Stegostoma tigrinum: one gene and its partners. The protein of the gene in region 3 binds, or shares a complex with, the protein of the main gene of each other region. Links are inferred from orthologs where the notes say so. Each region holds a gene or a part of one and is shown on either strand. Other genes may lie near its edges.

Evidence for each region. The genes of interacting proteins can lie anywhere in the genome.
Region 1: vps54 (region 3) and vps52 share a complex: the UniProt entries of both Homo sapiens proteins name them as parts of the golgi-associated retrograde protein (GARP) complex. The link is inferred for Stegostoma tigrinum from reciprocal best matches to the Homo sapiens genes VPS54 and VPS52.
Region 2: vps54 (region 3) and vps51 share a complex: the UniProt entries of both Homo sapiens proteins name them as parts of the golgi-associated retrograde protein (GARP) complex. The link is inferred for Stegostoma tigrinum from reciprocal best matches to the Homo sapiens genes VPS54 and VPS51.

What each region holds. Positions count from the first base shown.
Region 1 is NC_081387.1:27,635,446-27,642,953, reverse strand, and holds the start of vps52 (vacuolar protein sorting-associated protein 52 homolog), read right to left. Parts: upstream 3,009-7,508; 5' UTR 2,908-3,008; coding exon 2,875-2,907; intron 2,506-2,874; exon of another isoform or gene 2,306-2,505; coding exon of another isoform or gene 2,285-2,305; intron 1-2,284. Other genes in the region: gpank1 (G patch domain and ankyrin repeat-containing protein 1), read left to right, coding at 6,480-7,060. UniProt on the Homo sapiens protein: Acts as a component of the GARP complex that is involved in retrograde transport from early and late endosomes to the trans-Golgi network (TGN).
Region 2 is NW_026728199.1:142,960-149,838, reverse strand, and holds the start of vps51 (vacuolar protein sorting-associated protein 51 homolog), read left to right. Parts: upstream 1-3,871; 5' UTR 3,872-3,914; coding exon 3,915-4,094; intron 4,095-6,003; coding exon 6,004-6,133; intron 6,134-6,879. UniProt on the Homo sapiens protein: Acts as a component of the GARP complex that is involved in retrograde transport from early and late endosomes to the trans-Golgi network (TGN).
Region 3 is NC_081362.1:1,791,717-1,799,535, forward strand, and holds the start of vps54 (vacuolar protein sorting-associated protein 54), read right to left. Parts: upstream 3,023-7,819; 5' UTR 2,966-3,022; intron 1-2,965. UniProt on the Homo sapiens protein: Acts as a component of the GARP complex that is involved in retrograde transport from early and late endosomes to the trans-Golgi network (TGN).

The DNA.
Region 1 (7,508 bases), on a different chromosome or scaffold from region 3:
GAAACGGGGTGGGTGCAGGAGACTGGAGCTGAATCGCAACACTTAGCATGGTCATACTGAACAATGAGGTAGGTTCGATGGGCTGAAGAGTCCATTCCGCTCCTGTTCTCTTTTGTTCTCATGAATATGGGCGGCTACAGTCCAATTCGTGGCTGTGAACAGAATAAAAGCACAAGAGATAATGGGAACTGCAGATGCTGGAGAATCCGAGATAACAAAGTGTGTAGCTGGATGAACACAGCAGGCCAAGCAGCATCTTAGGAGCAGGAAAGCTGACATTTCGGGCCTAAAAAGTACAAAACTGCTTTTATATCCCACAATACTTCCACAACGTGGAATTTCAAAGGTCAGTAATTATGTGGGAGGCAATGGCCTAGTGGTATTATCATTGGACTATTAATCCAGAGACGCAGATAATGTTCTAGGGACCTGGGTTCGAATCCCGCCCATGGCAGATGGCGGAATTTGAATTCAATAAAAATATCCGGAATTAAGAATTTAATGATGATCATGAATCCATTGCTGTCAGGATAAACCCATCTGGTTCACTAATGTCCTTTAGAGAAGGAAACTGCTGTCCTTACCTGGGCTGGCCTACATGTGACTCCAGACCCACAGTAATGTGGTTGACTCTTACCTGCCCTCTGGGGCAACTGGGGAAGGACAGTAAATGCTGCCTGGCCACCGACGCCCTCATCCCGTGAATGAATAAACTAAAAATTTCAAGATGGCAACCAGTTTCTGCACAGCAAGCCCCCATAAAAAAACCCACATCAGAATCAGGAGCTGGAATCCAGCCCATTGAGCCTGTTCCACCATTTGATGCCAATCTGCCTGATCTTATCTCAGCCTCAACTCCTCTCCTGCCCATAATCCTTCAACCCTTCCACTAATTTAAAAATCAATCACTTCAATGTTGGGTGGACTTTTAACTTCCCTCAGGGCAATTAGGGACGGGCAGTAAACGCAGGTGTAGCCAGCAACACCCTCATCCTGTGAGCGAGTAAAAGTTGACCCAGTGTCTCAACATCCGTTGAGGCAGTGAATTCTACAGGTTCACAGCTCTTTGAGAGAAGTAACTTCTCCTCATCTCTGTTTTAAATCTGCCATCCCTTATCCGAAAATCATAGAATCCCTACAGTGTGGAAGCAGGCCATCTGGTCCATCAAGTCCACAGTGACCCTCTGAAGAGTATACTACCTAGACCCACCCCTTACCCTAGACACTATGGGCAACTTAGCATGGCCAATCTATGACCTCTCCTTCCAGACTGCCCCTCAAGGGGAAACATCCTCTCTATGTCTACTTTCTCAATCCCCATTAGCATCTTCTATCCCTCAATTAGATATCCTCTCTTTCTTCTACACTCCAGACAGCGTAAGCCTAAACTGCTCTGCCTCTCTTCAAAAGGCAAACCCCTCATCTCTGGAATCAATTGAGTGAACCAGCTCTAAGAAATTAATTAAATAAGGTCCAATTATTTTGTTGACTGCTGCTGCTGATTGAGGGATGAACAGTGGACAATTCACTGCCCCTTCTCTCCTTTTAAACAAAATAACATGGCAAGTTTTCGCTTCAGCTGCACAAGCCAAGAAATCATTGCTTCAGCCTCAAGTCTGAAAGACAGCAACTCAAGGTCCTTCACAGATTCAAGTCACACTTCAGAGGCTTCAACACGCTGTATTCCAAAAGTGGCTCTGACCAATGTTCTGTATGGCCCCAACATGACCCTCCCAACTCCTCTACTCAATGCACTCACTAATAAAGGCTAAAGCGTACTGAACACCACCTTCACTGCCCTGTCTATCTGTGAATCCTCCCCTCCCTCCTCCTACACATTTGGAAAGGTAAGGACTGATTGGGGATAATCAACATGGCTCTGCAGGTGGGAAATCATGTCTCAATAACTTAACTGAGTTGTTTGAAAACGTGACAAAGAAAACTGACGAAGGCAGTGCGGTGAATATTGTCCAAATGGATTTCAGTGCGGCATCTGGCAAGATTCCACATGGTAGGCTGGTTAGCATGATTAGATCACATGGGATCTAGGGGGCAGCTAACCAATTGGATATAAAATTGGTTTGAAGGCAGAAGGGGTTGGCAGTAGGGTTTTTTTTAAAAAAAATTAGAGGCTGGAAGCCAGTGGTGTGCCACGAGCATCGGTGCAGGGTCCGCTGCTTTTTGTCATTTATAGAAATGATTTAGATATGAAATTGGAGGTATGATTAGTAAGTTTGCAGATGACACCAAAATTGGAGGTGTAGTAGACAGTGAAGAAAGTTACCTGAGTATAAGGGGATCTCATTCAGATCAGCCAAGTAGATGGAGTTTAATTTAGATAAATGTGAGGTGCTGCATCTTGGAAAGGCAAATCATGGCAGGACTAATACTCCTTCATGGTAAGGTCCTGGGGACTGTTGCTGAACAGAGACCTTGTTGAGGGGGGGGCGGTGCAGGATCACAGTTCCTTGAAAGTGGACTCACAGGGAGACAGGATGGTGAAGGTGTTCGGTACATTAGCCTTTATTGGTCAGTGCGTTGAGTACAGGGAGTTGGGAGGGTCATGTTGGGGCTGGGCAGGACATTGGTTTGGGCCACTTTTGGGATACAGCTCTCAGTTCCGGTCTCCCTGCTACAGGAAGGATGGTGTGAAACTTGGAAGGGTTCAGGAAAGATTTACAAGGATGTTGCTGGGGTTGGAGGGTTTGAGCTACAGGGAGAGAGGCTGAATAGGCTGGGGCTATTTTCCCTGGAGCGTCAGAGGCTGAGGAGGGACCTTATAGAGGTTTATAACATCATGAGGGGCTTGGATAGGGTGAATAGACAAGGTCCCACCCCCCGGGGGGTGAGGGGGGGTTTCGGTCCCGTCCCTACCTCAGCCGCTCCTCCGCCTTCCACCGCCGCCATAGCAACAACATCCGGGGCCCGTCTCCTCACCCGGAACCGGAATCCCCCGGCCAGCCGAGGGGGGGCGGGGTTCGTTTTTCTCTCCCCCCCCCCCCCAAAAAGAAATCCGGGCCACAAGGTCCCTGCGGTTTGACCCTGATCCTCACCCAGTTCGGTAGGGGGTGGGGGTGGTGTAGGGGGTGGGGGGGGGGGGGGGTGGTGGTGGGGGTGGGGAGTAGAGGGACGCAAGGAGCGAAGACTACAACTCCCGGCGCGCACAGCGGCCGCCCACGTCCTCCCGGGGTGCACCGCGGCGGCGCGGTAAGGCCTCCTGGTGTTAGCGATGTCGCGGTGGTAGATGTGTAAAGGTTCCCAGTGTCGGAGGCACAGCGGGCGGGGACGAGGTCTGCCCGCGATTGCTAATTAATCCTTCAGCAATGAGGTAGCAAAGTGTGGGGCTGGATGGACACAGCAGGCCCAGCAGCATCTCAGGAGCACAAAAGCTGACGTTTCGGGCCTAGACCCTTCATCAGAGAGAGGGATGGGGGGAGGGAACTGGAATAAATAGGGAGAGAGGGGGAGGCGGACCGAAGATGGAGAGTAAAGAAGATAGGTGGAGAGAGTATAGGTGGGGAGGTAGGGAGGGGATAGGTCAGTCAGGGAAGACGGACAGGTCAAGGAGGTGGGATGGGGTTAGTAGGTAGCTGGGGGTGCGGCTTGGGGTGGGAGGAAGGGATGGGTGAGAGGAAGAACAGGTTAGGGAGGCAGAGACAGGCTGGACTGGTTTTGGGATGCAGTGGGTGGGGGGGAAGAGCTGGGCTGGTTGTGTGGTGCAGTGGGGGGAGGGGATGAACTGGGCTGGTTTAGGGATGCGGTGGGGGAAGGGGAGATTTTGAAACTGGTGAAGTCCACATTGATACCATATGGCTGCAGGGTTCCCAAGCGGAATATGAGTTGCTGTTCCTGCAACCTTCGGGTGGCATCATTGTGGCAGTGCAGGAGGCCCATGATGGACATGTCATCTAAAGAATGGGAGGGGGAGTGGAAATGGTTTGCGACTGGGAGGTGCAGTTGTTTGTTGCGAACTGAGCGGAGGTGTTCTGCAAAGCGGTCCCCAAGCCTCCGCTTGGTTTCCCCAATGTAGAGGAAGCCACACCGGGTACAGTCGATACAGTATACCACATTGGCAGATGTGCAGGTGAACCTCTGCTTAATGTGGAATGTCATCTTGGGGCCTGGGATGGGGGTGAGGGAGGAGGTGTGGGGACAAGTGTAGCATCTCCTGCGGTTCTTCATGCCTGGGATGCGGGTGAGGGAGTATCAGATGGAATTTAATTTGGGTGAATGTGAGATTACATTTTAGTGAAACAAACAAGGGTAAGACCTGTACAATTAAAAGTTAGGCATTGGATGGTGTTGGACAACAAGGACACCTAGGGATTCAGCGACATAATTCTGTGAGGTTTTGCGTCACATGCAGACAGGGTGGTTAAGAAGGTAATTGTACACCTGCCTTCCTTGCTGACACAAAGAACAAAGAAAATTACAGCAGAGGAACAGGCCCTTCGGCCCTCCAAGCCTGCACCGACCTGCTGCCCATCACAACTAAAACCCCCTACACGTCCGGAGACCCTATTCCTCTATTCCCATCCTATTCATGTAATTGTCAAGGCGTCCTTTAAAAGTCACTACAGTATCAGCTTCCAGTACCACCCCCAGCAGCGCCTTCCAGGCACCCACCACCCTCCTGTGTAAAAAAAAAACAAACTTGCTTCATACATCACCTTTAAACCTATCCCCTCGTACCTTAAACCCATGGCCCCTGGTAACTGACTCTTCCATCCTGGGGAAAAAGCTTCTGACTGACCATTCTGTCCATGCCCTTCATAATCCTGTAGACCTCTATCCGGTCACCCCTCAACCTTTGTCGTTCCAGTGAGAACAACCCACGTTTCTCCAACCCCTCCTAATAGCTAATGCCCTCCATACCAGGCAAAATTCTGGTAAATATTTCCTGTATCCTCTCCAAAGCCACCACATCCTTCTGGTAGTGTGCTGACCAGAATTGAACACAATATTCCAAATGCGGCTGATCAAAGGTTCTTTAAAGCTGCAACATTACCCCCCCCCCCCCCCTTTTAAAACCCAGTGCCCTGGCCAATGAAGGGAAGCATGCCGTATGCCTTGTTGACTACTTTTTCCACCTGTGTTGCCCTTTCGGTGACCTGTGTACCTGTACACCCAGATCCCTCTGCTATCGGTACTCTTAAGGGTTCTTGCCATTTACGTTATAATTTCCAACTGAATCAGACCTTCCAAAATGCATTACCTCGCGTTTTTCCAGATTAAACTGCATCTGCCATCTCTCTGCCCAAGACACCAAGCAATCTATATCCTGCTGTTTCCTTTTGACGGTCCTCATCACTACCTGCATTCCACCAACCTTTGTGTCATCAGCAAACTTACTGATCAGTCCAGTTACTTTCTCCTCCAAATCATTTATGTATATTACCATCAGTGAAGGTCCCAACGCTGATCCCTGAGGAATGCCACTATTCATGTGCTGATCTAAAAGTCTCTTAAACACACCTATTGTATATTTCTAAATGCCACAGCCCTCCATTCAGAAACACACCCTTCCACTGTTACCCTCTGTCTTCTATGACTGAGCCAGTTTTTTCCATCTTCTTGCAATCTCACCTCTGACCCTGTGCAACTTTACCTTTACCTTCTGTATCAGACGTTTGAGTTTTGAAGTTGCGATGAGGTTGTCGGATGTTGGTGAGGCCTCTCCTGGAGCACTGTATGCGGTTCCGGTCGCCCTGATATAGGAAGGATATTATTAAACTGGAGAGGGGTCAGAAAAAATTTACCAGGATGTTGCCAGGAATGGAGGATTTGAGTTGTAAGGAGAGGCTGGATTGGCGGGGTTGTCTTTTTTTATTGGTGTTGTAGGAGGTTGAGCGTTGACTTTACAGAGGTTTTTAAAATGATGAGGAGTACAGATACAGTGAATGGCAGGAGTCATTTCCCTTGGGTGGGGGATTGCGAGTCTAGGGGGCATCTTTTTCAGATGAGAGGAGAACAATTTAAAAAGGATAATAGGGGCATTTTTTTTTAAACACCGAGTGTGGTTCATGTGTGGAATGAACTTCCAGAGGAAGTGGTGGATGCGATACAGTTACAGCGTTTGGATAGGTACATGAATAAGAAATGTTTGGATGGATATGAGTCAAGTGCAGGCAATGGGACTAGTTTAGTTTACGCTGGTTGGAGTAAAGGATATGTTACCATGCTGTGTGACTCTATAACACTGTTAATATGCTGTTGTCACTATATCGTACTAATCTTCCTATGTTAGTCTTGTAATATTCCTCATTTCTCTTCTCAATTTGATATTAGTCTTATGTCTGTAGCTACTCTATCAGATTGGTTTTTGTATTTATTCAATTGCAACTCTGAAAAAAATGACAGTTATTGCAAATTCTGCTTTTGCTTTTGCACACAGTTGTCTCTGGGATGTGAAGTGCCCATTGCCAGTAGCAAAGTGAGCCCTAAGTAATCAGAAGTGCAGGCAAAGAACATTCTTCATCATGGATCACATGAACCTCATCACTTTTACCCGAGCCAAAGATGAAACAGACACCTGGGAAAATGGAGAGCGTCAGAAACCTCCATCGCCTGGCCCCGGGATTGAAGTCCTGACTGGAGATGAGGTGAAAAAGTTTTATGAGAGCCTTCTCACATCAGATGGTGAGGCAGGTACGAGTTCCATTCGGAAACGTAAAGTTGTTTGGCAGACGTCAAAGACTGAAAGGACCAACAGGGAGCAAACTCCAAGGAGTCTGCCTGCTGCAGCAACGGAGAGGAATGGACACCTCCTGCTAAAATGTGCTCAGGATGGGGACCTGAAAAGGCTTCGCAGGTTACTGGAGACTGCAATGTGTGATATAAATTTCCGGGACAGTTATTACTGGACTGCCACAATGTGTGCGGCGTACAGCGGGCAGGCAGAGGTGGTGAAGTACTTACTGAACCGTGGGGCTGCATGGATTGGAGTGTGCGATTCCACGGGGCGAGATGCTTTGGATTTGGCCAGACAAGCTGGGCATGTTGAAATCATCACAATGTTTGAAGAATTTCATACTCGCCGGGAGGAACTGCAGGAACCAAGGTGAGAAGGCTGGGGTAAAGACTCCTATCTCCAGGCTGGTAGTGAGCGTGTGGACTGCCTGGAAATGTTGGGGGAGGCAGGTTTCATTGCGATATTCCCAGAGGGGCATTGGATGGGTGTTTGTTTGGAAATGGTGCACAGCGGAAAAGGCAGGAGATTGGGCACTGGGGAGTACAGCCAATGCAAGCAATATAGGGTAGAATGGCCTGATCCTGTGCCATGTCACTTCTTTGATCTTGTTAGCCCTTCGTGCTGGGATGCAAGCCAGCTTCTGTGATATCCCAACATTTGGATGTAACATCTTCCTTTTCCCTTGCCCCGCAATCTCCCAACTGCTGACCTGGTTCAACTCCTGATGTTGCCACTCGTTCTGTGTAACATTCCCACTGTTGTTGGTTAGATTGTGTCTCTTATTGGAGATAGCCATTGCCTGGCGCTTGTGTGGCGT
Region 2 (6,879 bases), on a different chromosome or scaffold from region 3:
AGTGATGTGCAGGTTTGGGTGGATTGGCCGTGCTAAATTGCCCCGTAGTGTCCAGGGATGTGCAGGTTAGGGTGGATTGGCCGTGCTAAATTGCCCCATAGTGCTCAGGGATGTACAGGTTAGGATGGATTGGCCGTGCTAAATTGTCGCTTAGTGCCCAGGGATGTGTGGGTTAGGGTGGATTGGCCGTGCTAAATTGTCGCTTAGTGCCCAGGGATGTGTGGGTTAGGGTGGATTGGCCGTGCTAAATTGTCCCATAGTGTCCAGGGATGTGCAGGTTAGGGTGGGTTGGCCGTGCTAAATTGTCCCATAGTGTCCACGGATGTGCAGGTTAGGGTGGGTTGGCCGTGCTAAATTGTCCCATAGTGCCCAGGGATGTGCGGGTTAGGGTGGATTGGCCATGCTAAATTGTCCCATAGTGCCCAGGGATGGGCAGGTTCGGGTGGATTGGCCGTGCTAAATTGTCCCATAGTGCCCAGGGATGTGCAGGTTAGGGTGGATTGGCCGTGCTAAATTGTCCCATAGTGCCCAGGGATGTGCAGGTTCGGGTGGAATGGACGTGCTAAATTGTCCCGTAGTGCCCAGGGATGTACAGGTTAGGGTGGATTGGCCATGCCAAATTGTCCCATAGTGCCCAGGGATGTGCGGGTTAGGGTGGATTGGCCGTGCTAAATTGTCCCATAGTGCCCAGGGATGTGCAGGTTAGGGTGGATTGGCCGTGCTAAATTGTCCCATAGTGCCCAGGGATGTGCGGGTTAGGGTGGATTGGCCGTGCTAAATTGTCCCATAGTGCCCAGGGATGTGCGGGTTAGGGTGGATTGGCCGTGCTAAATTGTCCCATAGTGCCCAGGGATGTGCAGGTTAGGGTGGATTGGCCGTGCTAAATTGTCCCATAGTGCCCAGGGATGTGCAAGTTAGGGTGGGTTGGCCGTGCTAAATTGTTCCATAGTGCCCAGGGATGTGCGGGTTAGGGTGGATTGGCCATGCTAAATTGTCCCATAGTGTCCAGGGATGTGCAGGTTAGGGTGGATTGGCCGTGCTAAATTGTCCCATAGTGCCCAGGGATGTACAGGTTAGGGTGGATTGGCCGTGCTAAATTGTCCCATAGTGCCTAGGGATGTGCGGGTTAGGGTGGATTGGCCGTGCTAAATTGTCCCATAGTGCACAGGGATGTGCTGGTTAGTGTGGATTGGCCGTGCTAAATTGTCCCATAGTGTCCAGGGATGTGCTGGTTAGTGTGGATTGGCCGTGCTAAATTGTCCCATAGTGCCCAGGGATGTGCGGGTTAGGGTGGATTGGCCGTGCTAAATTGTCCCATAGTGCCCAGGGATGTGCAGGTTAGGGTGGATTGGCCGTGCTAAATTGTCCCATAGTGTCCAGGGATGTGCGGGTTAGGGTGGATTGGCCGTGCTAAATTGTCCCATAGTGCCCAGGGATGTGTGTGTTAGGGTGGATTGGCCGTGCTAAATTGTCCCATAGTGCCCAGGGATGTGCAGGTTAGGGTGGATTGGCCGTGCTGAATTGTCCCATAGTGCCCAGGGATGTGCGGGTTAGGGTGGATTGGCCGTGCTAAATTGTCCCATAGTGCCCAGGGATGTGCAGGTTATGGTGGATTGGCCGTGCTGAATTGTCCCATAGTGCCCAGGGATGTGCAGGTTAGAGTGGATTGGCCGTGCTGAATTGTCCCATAGTGTCCAGGGATGTGCGGGTTAGGGTGGATTGGACATGCTAAATTGTCCCATAGTGCCCGGGGATGTGCAGGTTAGGGTGGATTGGCTGTGCTAAATTGTCCCATAGTGCCCAGGGATGTGCAGGTTAGTGTGGATTGGCCGTGCTAAATAGTCCCATAGTGCACAGGGATGTGCGGGTTAGGGTGGATTGGCCGTGCTAAATTGTCCCATAGTGCGCAGGGATGTGCGGGTTAGGGTGGATTGGCCGTGCTAAATTGTCCCATAGTGTCCAGGGATGTGCGGGTTAGGGTGGATTGGCCGTGCTAAATTGTCCCATAGTGCCCAGGGATGTGCGGGTTAGGGTGGATTGGCCATGCTAAATTGTCCCATAGTGCCCAGGGATGTGCAGGTTAGGGTGGATTGGCCGTGCTAAATTGTCCCATAGTACCCAGGGATGTGCGGGTTAGGGTGGATTGGCCGTGCTAAATTGTTCCATAGTGCCCAGGGATGTGCAGGTTAGGGTGGATTGGCCGTGCTAAATTGTCCTATAGTGCCCAGGGATGTGCAGGTTAGGGTGGATAGGCCGTGCTAAATTGTTCCATAGTGCCCAGGGATGTGCGGGTTAGGGTGGATTGGCCGTGCTAAATTGTCCTATAGTGCCCAGGGATGTGCAGGTTAGGGTGGATTGGCCGTGCTAAATTGTTCCATAGTGCCCAGGGATGTGCGGGTTAGGGTGGATTGGCCGTGCTAAATTGTCCTATAGTGCCCAGGGATGTGCAGGTTAGGGTGGATTGGCCGTGCTAAATTGTCCCATAGTGCCCAGGGATGTGCTGGTTAGGGTGGATTGGCCGTGCTAAATTGTCCTATAGTGCCCAGGGATGTGCAGGTTAGGGTGGATTGGCCGCGCTAAATTGTCCCATAGTGTCCAAGGATGTGCGGGTTAGGGTGGATTGGCCGTGCTAAATTGTCCCATAGTGTCCAGGGATGTGTGGGTTAGGGTGGATTGGCCGTGCTAAATTGTCCCTTAGTGCCCAGGGATGTGCAGGTTAGGGTGGATTGGCCGTGCTAAATTGTCCCATAGTGTCCAGGGATGTGTGGGTTAGGGTGGATTGGCCGTGCTAAATTGTCCCTTAGTGCCCAGGGATGTGCAGGTTAGGGTGGATTGGCCGTGCTAAATTGTCCCATAGTGTCCAGGGATGTGTGGGTTAGGGTGGATTGGCCGTGCTAAATTGTCCCATAGTGTCCAGGGATGTGCAGGTTAGGGTGGATTGGCCGTGCTAAATTGTCCCATAGTGTCCAAGGATGTGCGGGTTAGGGTGGATTGGCCGTGCTAAATTGTCCCGTAGTGCCCAGGGATGTGCGGGTTAGGGTGGATTGGCCGTGCTAAATTGTCCCATAGTGTCCAAGGATGTGCGGGTTAGGGTGGATTGGCCGTGCTAAATTGTCCCGTAGTGCCCAGGGATGTGCGGGTTAGGGTGGATTGGCCGTGCTAAATTGTCCCATAGTGTCCAAGGATGTGCGGGTTAGGGTGGATTGGCCGTGCTAAATTGTCCCGTAGTGCCCAGGGATGTGCGGGTTAGGGTGGATTGGCCGTGCTAAATTGTTTATTAACCAGTCCCTGATCTCCACTGCGCTCTCCTTCCGTTTGAATGTCTGAAGTCCTGGTCGCGAGGCATCTCCCTTCTGTAATTTATTTCACATTATACCTTTGCTTCGCCTTGCCAGGAAAGGGTCACGTTTTCGCCCTGCCCCTGTGACTTGCGACAGGATTGGCGGGGGACAACCCTGGGTGAATGAATGGGATCTTGCTATGCGGAGACAGCAAGCGACTGGGTTGGTTGGGGGCGGGCAACCCTGGGTCGGATGGATGGGCACTTGCTGTGTGGGGATACATTGTCCCAGTCAACGCGGAGAGAGGAGGGCGACAGCATCACCCCAACGCCCCAAGACGAAAGGGCCATCATGAACCGAACATGACCGTTTTTCGGTGCTTTCCAGAGCCAAGGGGGCGGCCTTTCTGCTAAAATCAAAATGTGGCCACAAAATAATTGCGCCAGGCCTAGAGTTGGGGGTTTGAGTTCGCAAACACTCTGATTAGGTTTAGACCCGCAGCCATGTGTTAGAAAGATAATTGTTTTCATGTTTTTAAGGGAAAGGTGGTGACAGAAGCCTTTTGTGCTAGGCCTCTTCAACAAGAACTTTATTGTTCCAGGCCCTGGCCGCCGGGTTGTTGTTGTTGGGAAGATGGCGGCGGCGGCGGCGGAGCCCGAGCCCGAAGCGGAGCCGGAGCCGGGCCCCGGGAAGAAGCGGCGGATCCGGGGGATGCTCAAACTCTACTACGGCCTGAACGAGGGCTCCCGGGAGCCGCTCGACCCCGGGGACATCGACGGGGCCCACTTCCAGCCCGAGTTTTACCTCAACAAGGTGCCGCCCCCCCCCCTCACACACCCCCCTCCCCCCCCCCTCACACACCCCCCTCCCCCCCCCTCACACACCCCCCTCCCCCCCCCTCACACACCCCCCCTCCCCCCCCCTCACACACCCCCCCTCCCCCCCCCCTCACACACCCCCCTCCCCCCCCCCTCACACACCCCCCTCCCCCCCCCTCACACACCCCCCTCCCCCCCTCACACACCCCCCCTCCCCCCCCTCACACACCCCCCTCCCCCCCCTCACACACCCCCCTCCCCCCCCTCACACACCCCCCTCCCCCCCCTCACACACCCCCCTCCCCCCCCTCACACACCCCCCTCCCCCCCCCTCACACACCCCCCCTCCTCCCCCCCTCACACAGCCCCCCCTCCTCCCCCCCTCACACAGCCCCCCCCCCCTCAGCCCCCCCCTCCCCCCCCCTCACACAGCCCCCCCCTCCCCCCCCTCACACACCCCCCCCCTCACACACACCCCTCCCCCCCCTCCCCCCCTCACACACCCCCTCCCCCCTCACACACCCCCTCCCCCCTCACACCCCCCCCTCACACACCCCCCCTCCCCCCCTCACACACCCCCCTCCCCCCCTCACACACCCCCCTCCCCCCCCTCACACACCCCCCTCCCCCCCCTCACACACCCCCCTCCCCCCCCTCACACACCCCCCTCCCCCCCCTCACACACCCCCCTTCCCCCCCTCACACACCCCCCTTCCCCCCCCTCACACACCCCCCTTCCCCCCCTCACACACCCCCCTCCCCCCCCTCACACACCCCCCCCCCCCTCACACACCCTCCCCTCCCCCCCTCTCACACCCTCCCCTCCCCCCCTCTCACACCCTCCCCCCCCTCACACACCCTCCCCCCCCTCACACACCCTCCCCCCCCTCACACACCCTCCCCCCCCCTCACACACCCTCTCCCCCCCCTCACACACCCTCCCCCCCCTCACACACCCTCCCCCCCCCTCACACACCCTCCCCCCCCTCACACACCCTCCCCCCCCTCACACACCCTCCCCCCCCTCACACACCCTCCCCCCCCCTCACACACCCTCCCCCCCCCTCACACACCCTCCCCCCCCCTCACACACCCTCGCCCCCCTCACACACCCTCCCCTCCCCCCCTCAAACCCTCCCCCCCTCAAACCCTCCCCCTTCCCCCGCCATAACTGCCCCTTCCCCCGCCATAACTGCCCCTTCCCCTTCTACCATAACTGCCCCCCTCCCCCAGCCATTTCTACCCGCCCTCTCCTTGGACTTCTGCCCCAGCCACTTCCCAGTCTTTTCCTCTCCTCCCCCGCCAAATCTTCCCCCCTCTTGAAATCTTCCAATCCCCCTCCCAACTTCTGATCCTCCATCCCCAATCTGGCTTCCCCCCCCACTCCTCCTCTCCCTTGCCCTCCCCACAGTGAGAGGAGAGGCGTTGTGCCCTTCCCACAGAGAGGGGAGTTTTGACCCTCCCCAGACTGAGGGGTGGCTGGGTGTTGTGGGACAGTCAAACACCTCCCGCACAGGGAGAACGGGGAAGGATATGTGACCCTCCCCTAATGAGAGAGAGGGAGGGAGGGAGGGGTGATCCTCAATCAGAGTGCAGTGAATGTTTGATAGAGAGTGGGCTCGCGGAGTGCATGACCCTTCCCCTGTGGAAAAAGGGGAGTATGAGTGAGCAAAGGGGAATGTGAGTGTCACCTCTTCAGGTGAGATGGGAGAAATGTGCGGTGACCCCCTCCCACCAGCGGAAACACAGGTTTCTTGAACACGTGAATGCTGGGTTAGGACAGTCGGACCAGGTGCTTCCTGTGGAGTCCAGAGCCCAGCAAGAGCCCGACACAGCCAGCAGCAGGAGGGATGATCACGGGGTCCGTTGCTAACATAATCTGCTCACTCTCTCCTGTGTGACAGCTCAGGAAGGAGTGCACACTGGCAGAACTGATGGAAAGTGAAGCTGAGATGGTGAAACACATCCGAGCCCTGGACAGCGACATGCAGACTCTGGTCTATGAAAACTACAACAAGTTTATCTCTGCCACAGGTAGGGCAGAAACGTAGAGTTTGTAGAAGTTAGGAGTCAGCCACTTGGTATGATCACGCTGATGCATTTTGGTAATACAAACAAGCACAGGACTTAAACAGTTCGTGGTAGGGTCCTGGGGAGTGTTGTACAACAGAGTGACCTCGGGATTCAGGAACATAATTCTTTCAAATTTGCGTCACAGGTAGACAGAGTTAAGAAAGCAAAAGAACTGTGCATGTCACCAATCAGGAAGAAAAACAGAAGTTGCTGGAAAAGTTCAGCACATCTGGCAGAACTAAGGAAGCGTCACCGGACCCAAAGCATTAACTCGGTTTTTCTCCTCCACTGAGCTTTTCCAGCAACGACTTGGTTTTTGTTTCTGGTTAATGAAGTGTTTAGCACGCTCACCTTCATTGCTCAGTCGTTTGAGTACAGGAGTTAGGGACGTCTTGTTGAGGTTGGACTGGATGTTGATGAGGTCTCTTCTGGAGCACTGTGTCCAGTTCTCGTCGTCCTGTTATAGGAAATAAAGTGAGAAGCTGGAAAGATTGATCAGGATGTTGCCGAGTTTGGAGGGTTTGAGATATTAAAATAGGGGTGGCACGGTGGCGCACTGCAGCCCCACAGGACAAGGGACCCGGGTTCGATTCCACCCTCGGGCGACTGCGTGGAGTTTGCACATTCTCCCCCTGTCTGCGGGGGTTTCCTCCGGGTGCTCCAGTTTCCTCCCACTGTCCAAAGATGTGCAGGTTACGGTGGATTGG
Region 3 (7,819 bases):
GAACCTCTGCTTAATGTGGAATGTCATCTTGGGGCCTGGGATAGGGGTGAGGGGGGAGGTGTGGGGGCAAGTGTAGCATTTCCTGCGGTTGCAGGGGCAGGTGCCGGGTGTGGTGGGGTTGGAGGGCAGTGTGGAGCGAACAAGGGAGTCACGGAGAGAGTGGTCTCTCCGGAAAGCCGACAGGGGTGGGGATGGAAAAATTGTAGATGGCGGAAGTGTCGGAGGATGATGCGTTGTATCCGGAGGTTGGTGGGGTGGTGTGTGAGAACGAGGGGGATCCTCTTTGTTCCTGGACCTCTCAGTCTCCATCTCAGGCAACCAGCTTGTAACTGATGTCCATCCCACCCCACCAACCTCCGGATACAACGCATCATCCTCCGACACTTCCGCCATCTACAATCTGACCCCACCATCCAAAACATTTTTCCATCCCCACCCCTGTCTGCTTTCCGGAGAGACCACTCTCTCCGTGACTCCCTTGTTCCCTTCACACTGCCCTCCAACCCCACCACACCCGGCACCTGCCCCTGCAACCGCAGGAAATGCTACACTTGTCCCCACACCTCCCCCCTCACCCCTATCCCAGGCCCCAAGATGACATTCCACATTAAGCAGAGGTTCACCTGCACATCTGCCAATGTGGTATACTGCATCCAATGTACCCGGTGTGGCTTCCTCTACATTGGGGAAACCAAGCGGAGGCTTGGAGACCGCTTTGCAGAACACCTCCGCTCAGTTTGCAACAAACTACTGCACCTCCCAGTCGCAAACCATTTCCACTCCCCCTCCTATTCTCTAGATGACATGTCCATCATGGGCCTCCTGCACTGCCACAATGATGCCACCCGAAGGTTGCAGGAACAGCAACTCATATTCCGCCTGGGAACCCTGCAGCCTAATGGTATCAATGTGGACTTCACCAGCTTCAAAATCTCCCCTTCCCCAACTTCATCCCTAAACCAGCCCAGTTCGTCCCCTCCCACCACTGCACCACACAACCAGCCCAGCTCCTCCACTCCACCCACTGCATCCCAAAACCAGTCCAACCTGTCTCCGCCTCCCTAACCTGTTCTTCCTCTCACCCATCCCCTCCTCCCACCCCAAGCCGCACTTCCACCTACTAACCTCATCCCACCTCCTTGACCTGTCTGTCTTCCCTGGACTGACCTATCCCCTCCCTACCTCCCCACCTATACTCTCTCCACCTATCTTCTTTTCTCTCCATCTTCGGTCCGCCTCCCCCTCTCTCCCTATTTATTCCAGAACCCTCACCCCATCCCCCTCTCTGATGAAGGGTCTAGGCCCGAAACGTCAGCTTTTGTGCTCCTGAGATGCCGCTTGGCCTACTGTGTTCATCCAGCCTCACGTTTTGCTGCATTACTTCATCAGGAGCCAGTATCCATAAGATCATAAGATACAGCAGGAGAATTAGGTCATTTGACCCATTTACCTTGCTCCACAATTCATTAACATTATGGCTGATCCGGTTGTGATCTCAGCTCCACTTCTCTGTTTGTGACCATACCCCACAACTCCCTTGCTTGTCAAAACTCTAACTCAACCTTGATTAAATTCAATATTCCAGCCTTCACTGCCTTCTGTGCAAGTGATATCAACGGACTAATAGCCCTCAGAGTAAAAAAAAATCTTGTCTGTCTTTAAAAGGGAAATCTCTTGGCTCTGAAGAAGTCTTTGGACTCAAAATGTTTCTTCCTCGCCACAGATCTTGTCAGGCTTGCTGAGTTTCTCCTGCACTTTCGGCTTATATTCCTTGTTCTGAAACTGTGCTCCCCAGTTCTAATCTCTCTCTGACAGAGGGAGTACAGTCTGCAAGCTTGTGATTTCAAATAACCTGTTGGGCTATAACCTGGAGTTGTCTGATTTCAGGGGCGGCACAGTGGCTCAGTGGTTAGCACTGCAGCCTCACAGCACCAGGGACCTGGGTTCGATTCCAGCCTCAGGTAACTGTCTGTGCGGAATTTGCACATTCTCCCCGTGTCTGCATGAGTTTCCTTCGGGTGCTCTCGTTTCCTCCCACAGTCCAAAGATGTGCAGGCTAGGTGGAATGGCTGTGCTAAATTGCCCATAGTGTTCAGGGGTGTGTGGGTTATAGGGGAATGGGCCTGGGTGGGATGCTCCAAGGGGCGGTGTGGGCTTGTTGGGCCGAAGGGGCCTGTTTCCACACTGTAGGGAATCTAATCTAATTTCTGATCTAGTCTCTCCTGGGAAGAGGAAACATCCTTTGGGTGCCCACCATCATGCCTGAGTGAATGCCTCTTCTAAAGAGCCTGCACAGGTATGATGGACCAAATGGTCTCCTGTGCATTCTAGCATTCCATTCAGACATTTTGATAAGAATAGCTTCCAAAGAATCCAAACCAATACCACATCCCCACAAATTAGGAAGAACGCAGAATATAGCACTTGGGGAAGGAGATACTAGCACCTGCCCAGAGGACATGAAAAATAAGAAACAGGAGGCAGACTTTAGGAGGGGAGGAAGAGTGTGACCGGAACCAAAACATTAACTCTGATTTCTCTCCACAGATGCTACCAGACTTGTTGAGCTTTCCCAGCAATTTCTGTTTTTGTTGTTGATCAGGGAAGGGGGTGGTGCTAGGACAGGCAGAGCGGGCTGAGCGGTCATTATGCTTTGATTCTGCGAACCCGGTGTATGTCTCACACTCGGGAAGAGCACGGCGTTAAGCGGGGTGGCGGTGGTTTCGGGGATCAGGAAGCGGCGGCCGCTGACACTGTCCCCCGAACCCGGAGAAACAGAAACCCCAGCTCCGCGGCCTAACGTACCGGCCCGGTCCTATCCGGAGCCCGGCCCCGTAACCAACAGGAGGTTTGGGGTGGGGGGGGGGGAAGTGATCGAGTCAAGAACCAGCCCCTCATCTAGACACCCGTTTCCCTCATCCATCTGTCCCACACCCCGGAGCTGCGGACAAACTCTCACCCTCACCTGCTCCCGCTACCGCCTGGAGCCACCATCGGACCTCCCAGTCCTCCCGGCCCGTCCCGACAGGCACTGCGCGGTCTGCTGGGGCGGGACCCGCGCTCCCCACATCACCTGATCTGATTGACGGCGGTTCTAGCCAATTAGAGTGCAGGCATGTCGCAGGTTTTATGGGTGTAGGGGGGGTGAGGGCCGGGGCGGAGAAGGTGTGTGAGTCTGCGCGCGCGTGGGAGAAACGGATTTTCAAACCGACAGAGGGGCGTGTGGACCGTGCTATGAAAACCGAAGTAATCTGTACGGCTCGTCTGTGTGTGTGAACACAACCGAAAAAACAAGACTGATGTGTCAACTCTGTAATCAGATCCTGCTAACAATGACCATTAGGAATCCGAGATAGAGATAGTAGGGACTGCCAACGCTGCAGAATCTGAGATAACACAGTGTGGAGGTGGACGGACACAGGAGGACAAGCAGCAGCAGCAGAGGAGCAGGAAAGGCTGATGTTTGAGGCCTAGACCCTCCTTCAGAAATTGGAGCGGGGGGGGGGGGGGGTCTGAATTAAATAGGGAGAGAGAGCGCGGACCGGTTGTGCTTCAGTATCTGCACCCCCCCCCCCCCCCCAGTCCCAAAGGATTCATGTCCCTCCTCCCTCCCCCAAAGGCTATTGAAACATGAGATTCTTAGTGTGTTTAACAAGGTGTGGTGTGTGAGAACGAGGGGGATCCTCTTTGTTCCTGGACCTCTCAGTCTCCATCTCAGGCAACCAGCTTGTAACTGATGTCCATCCCACCCCACCAACCTCCGGATACAACGCATCCGACACTTCCGCCATCTACAATCCGACCCCACCATCCAAGACATTGTTTGCCTTTATGGGAGAGACCAGGACCAGATGGCAAATTCTCAAACCCAGGGTTCACTTATTTAAGACAGGGATAAGGAGGAATTTCTTCTCTGAGGGTGATATATCTGTGAAATTCTTTATTGCAGAAGGCTGTTAAGGCTACGTTGTTAAGTATATTCAAGGCTGAGATAGATCAGGGAAGGAAGCAAGAGTTAGGAGGCAAGGGCAGGAAAATAAAGTTGAAGATTATCAGATAAATCATAATCTCATTCCAGTGCTACACAGTTCCCATTATCACTTACATCTTCCTCTATGTTTTCTGATAGGGCGTAATCTCAGAATAAGGAACTGCACGGTTAAGACAGAGATAAGGAGGAATTTCCATCAGAGGATAGTGAATCTGTAGAATTTAGAGTTCATTCTTAAGAATGAGACTGCAGAATACTTGGAAGAACGTGATAAAATAGTGTTCAGTCAGCATGGTTTTGTCAAAGGGAGGTCATGCCTGACAAATTTGTTAAGAATTCTTTGAGGAGGTAATAAGCAAGTTCGACAAAGAAGAGCAATGGACACAAACTATTTGGATTTCCAGAAAACCTTCAGTAAGGTGCTGTAACAAAGCTACTTAAATAAGTTAAAAGCCCATGCTGTTAAGAATAAGGTACTGGCATAGATAGAGGATTGGTTAACTGGCAGAAGGCAGAGAGTAGGGATAGGGGTTTTTATCAGGATGGCAACCAGTGACTAGTAGAGTTCCACAGGGGTCAGTGGTGGACCACAAAGGTTCATGTTACACACTAATAATCTGGATGATGGAACTGAGCACATTGTTGGTAAGTTTGCAACTGACACAAAACTATGTGTAGGGAGTGCTGTGGAAGCAGGAGGCTGCTGAAGGACTTGGTTAGTCTTGGAGAGTGGGCAAAGAAGTGGCAGAGGGAATACGACGTGGGAAAGTGCAATGTTACGCACTTTGGTAGGAAGAGGAGACTTGGACTATTTTCTAAATGGGGAAAGGCTTCAGAAACCTGAAGCACAAAGGGACTTGTTTAGACTTCTCTTCTGGTTAATACGCAGGTTCAGTTGGCATTTGGAAGGCAAATACAATCATGCCGTTAGTTTCAGGAGGGCTAGAATACAAGAGCAGAAATGTACTGCTGAGGCTACGTAAAGCTCTGTTCAAACCACATTTGAAATATGATGAGGAGTTTTGAGCCCCCTATCTAAGGAAGGATGTGCTGGCATTGGAGTGATCCAGAGATGTTTACCAAGAATGATCCTGGACTGAAGGCCTTGTGAAACGAGGAGAGGTTGAGGACTCTGCATCCGTACTTGGTGGTGTTTAGCAGGTTGTTGGGGGTAAGTGGGGGGGGGGGGGGGGGGGGAGGGGGTGGAGGTGGGGGAGATCCGAATGAAACTTACAGAATATTGAGACGCCGAGGTAGAGTGGTAGGTGGAGAAAATGTTTCCATTCGTAGGAAAGATTAGGAGCCAGGGGTACATCATCAAAAAATGAAGGACAACCCTTTAGAATTTCTCCAGCCAGAGGGTAGTGAATTTGTGGAATTTATTGTCACAGAGGGCTGTGAAGGCCAAGTCATCGAGTTTATTTAAGTCAGATATAGATTCTCAATTAGTACGGGATCAAGTCATACAGGGAGAAGGTAAGAGAATGAGGTTGAGAAATATAATCGGCCATGACCAAACAGTGGAGCAGACTCAATGGACCAAATGGCCAAATTCTGATTCTATATCTTGTGGGCTTCTGGTAATTCTTTCCCACAGAAGGTGATTGAGTATATTCAAGGCTGAGAGATTTTTAAGCAGGAAGGGAATCTAGGCTTACAGGGAAAAAGCAAGAAACTGGAGTTGAAGCTCATCTTGTTGAGATGTACAGCAAACACAGTGGGCTGAATAGCCATCTTCTGGTCCTAAATCTTATGGTCTTACAACTCAACTACAAAAGCTACACACTGAATTACTGAGGGAATTCTGCACAGGAGTGCTATTTCCTTATGCTTAATGCCAGGGCAATGGAATTTAAAAGTATGCTACTGGTGCATGGCACATCTGGAAGACAATTAACAGTTTTGGTTGCCTTGTTTAAGAAAATATGTATAAACATTAGAAGAAGTTCAGAGAAGGTCCATTTGAAAAATTTCTGAGTTGGGGTTTGCGGAGATGAGCTTATGAGGAAAGTTTGGATAGACTGGGCCTGTTATCCATTTACGTTTGGAAGAACGAGAGGTGGTCTTATTGAAACATATGAGATGCTGAGGGTATTTGACAGGTTGGATGCTAAAGAAATATTTACCTCATAGGAGAGGCATTGGAACAGGAGTGGGCCGTTCAGCCCCTCAAGCCCATTCCACCATTCAATGAGATCATAGCTGATCTGGAGGTTAGAAGTAGAGGATACAGTTTAAAAATACATTTATAACTGAACTAAAGAGAACTTCTTCTAAGGGTCATGAGTGTTTGGAACACTCTTCCCAACAAAACAATGGAGATGTGTCAGAGTATTTTCTATGGTGTAGACATAGATATATTTTTGACTAAAAGGAGTGAAAAGTTATGGTCAATGGAAATATGGAGTTGGCTGGGGTTGGAGTTGACAGTTCCAACTCATGAACTCTCTTTGCAAATGGCAATAAGACCATGCAGGCTGCTTGTATCAAATGATCACTTGTCAAGGCACTACTGTGTTGACTGTCACATCAATAGGAATAGGTTTCATTTGATTGAGGAAGCAACTGTTGTCTGTTCTTTATACTGTTTACTTACCAGCATGTCCATGAAACCAGACAACCAGCAGGACCAAACTGCTCCAAGTTCAGATGCAGATGTTTCCCACCAGATCTTCAGCAGATTGAGCTCCTTGACATCAGACACCAGGGTTACCGCAGATGCCTTCATTAGACTCTACACCTCCTGGAGTGTATTTAGTGGGAAACCAGCAGCAATGTGGGTTGAGATTCACAAGGCAGACATTAGGGGTTTTGCAGATGTCGGAGTTGTTACTGATCATAAATGGATCAATTTGTGAAATCAGTATATATATTTTCAAACAACGGAGGACTTTTTTTCAGTTCCTGTTGCTCTTTAAAATCCTCACATTGGCGCAGAGACACCTGTGAAGTTGACTCCAAAAAGGATATTGGAATAAAAAACAAAGTTGCTGGAAAAGCTCAGCAGGTTTGGCAGCATCTGTAAAGGAGAAAACAGCGATAACGTTTAGGGTCCGGTGACCCTTCCTCGGTACTCAGGATATTGGAATAATGTTTCTAAGATCTGGAACATGGAAAGGTGGAGAGTTGGTCCTTATCCAATGGATAGTTTTGAGGAATGTCCTCAATTTCCTGTCTCCATATTTGGCAGCTCACATTATTGCTCTAAGACAGCATCCTCGACTTTCTCAACCCCATTTATCTCTTGGGGTTCCACAACAACTAGTTATTGTGCAAAACTGTTTAGCAAGCAACAAATGTTAATGAATTTAGATTTAGTCATGTGCACCGGTGCAGAAATACAGGGAACAGTGAAAAGTGTACTAGTCACCATTCTCCGATGCAAGAGACAGGATTAAAAACAGAAGCAGAAATAAAAGAAACAGCCAAAAGGAGACATCCAGATCACTCCCCCGCCTCCACCATGAGTCCTCATCACCAGAAAAAACACAACCACAAAGTCCATCCCTTAGTCTGCAAACTCTCAGGTGCCTGAGTCCCTGCACACCGCTGCAGTTAGAATGCCACCACCTCTGCCATCAGGTACCCAGGTTCCACCTCTCCAGGTTGGAACCAGGTCACCATTCTTAGCACCATTTTGTCTCTCCTGACATCATCACCATGAAGCTGTGTTGGGCCCTGGATGATCTCAGTAAGAGGGCTTGTCCTGAAAGGATCAGACAGTGGATTTTATTCCAAGATGCTCACACTTTGTTCTGAGAGCTTTGAGCATTGTATGATTCGGGCTAGATTCCTGCTCTGAACTATTGCCCAAGTTTATATCAAGCT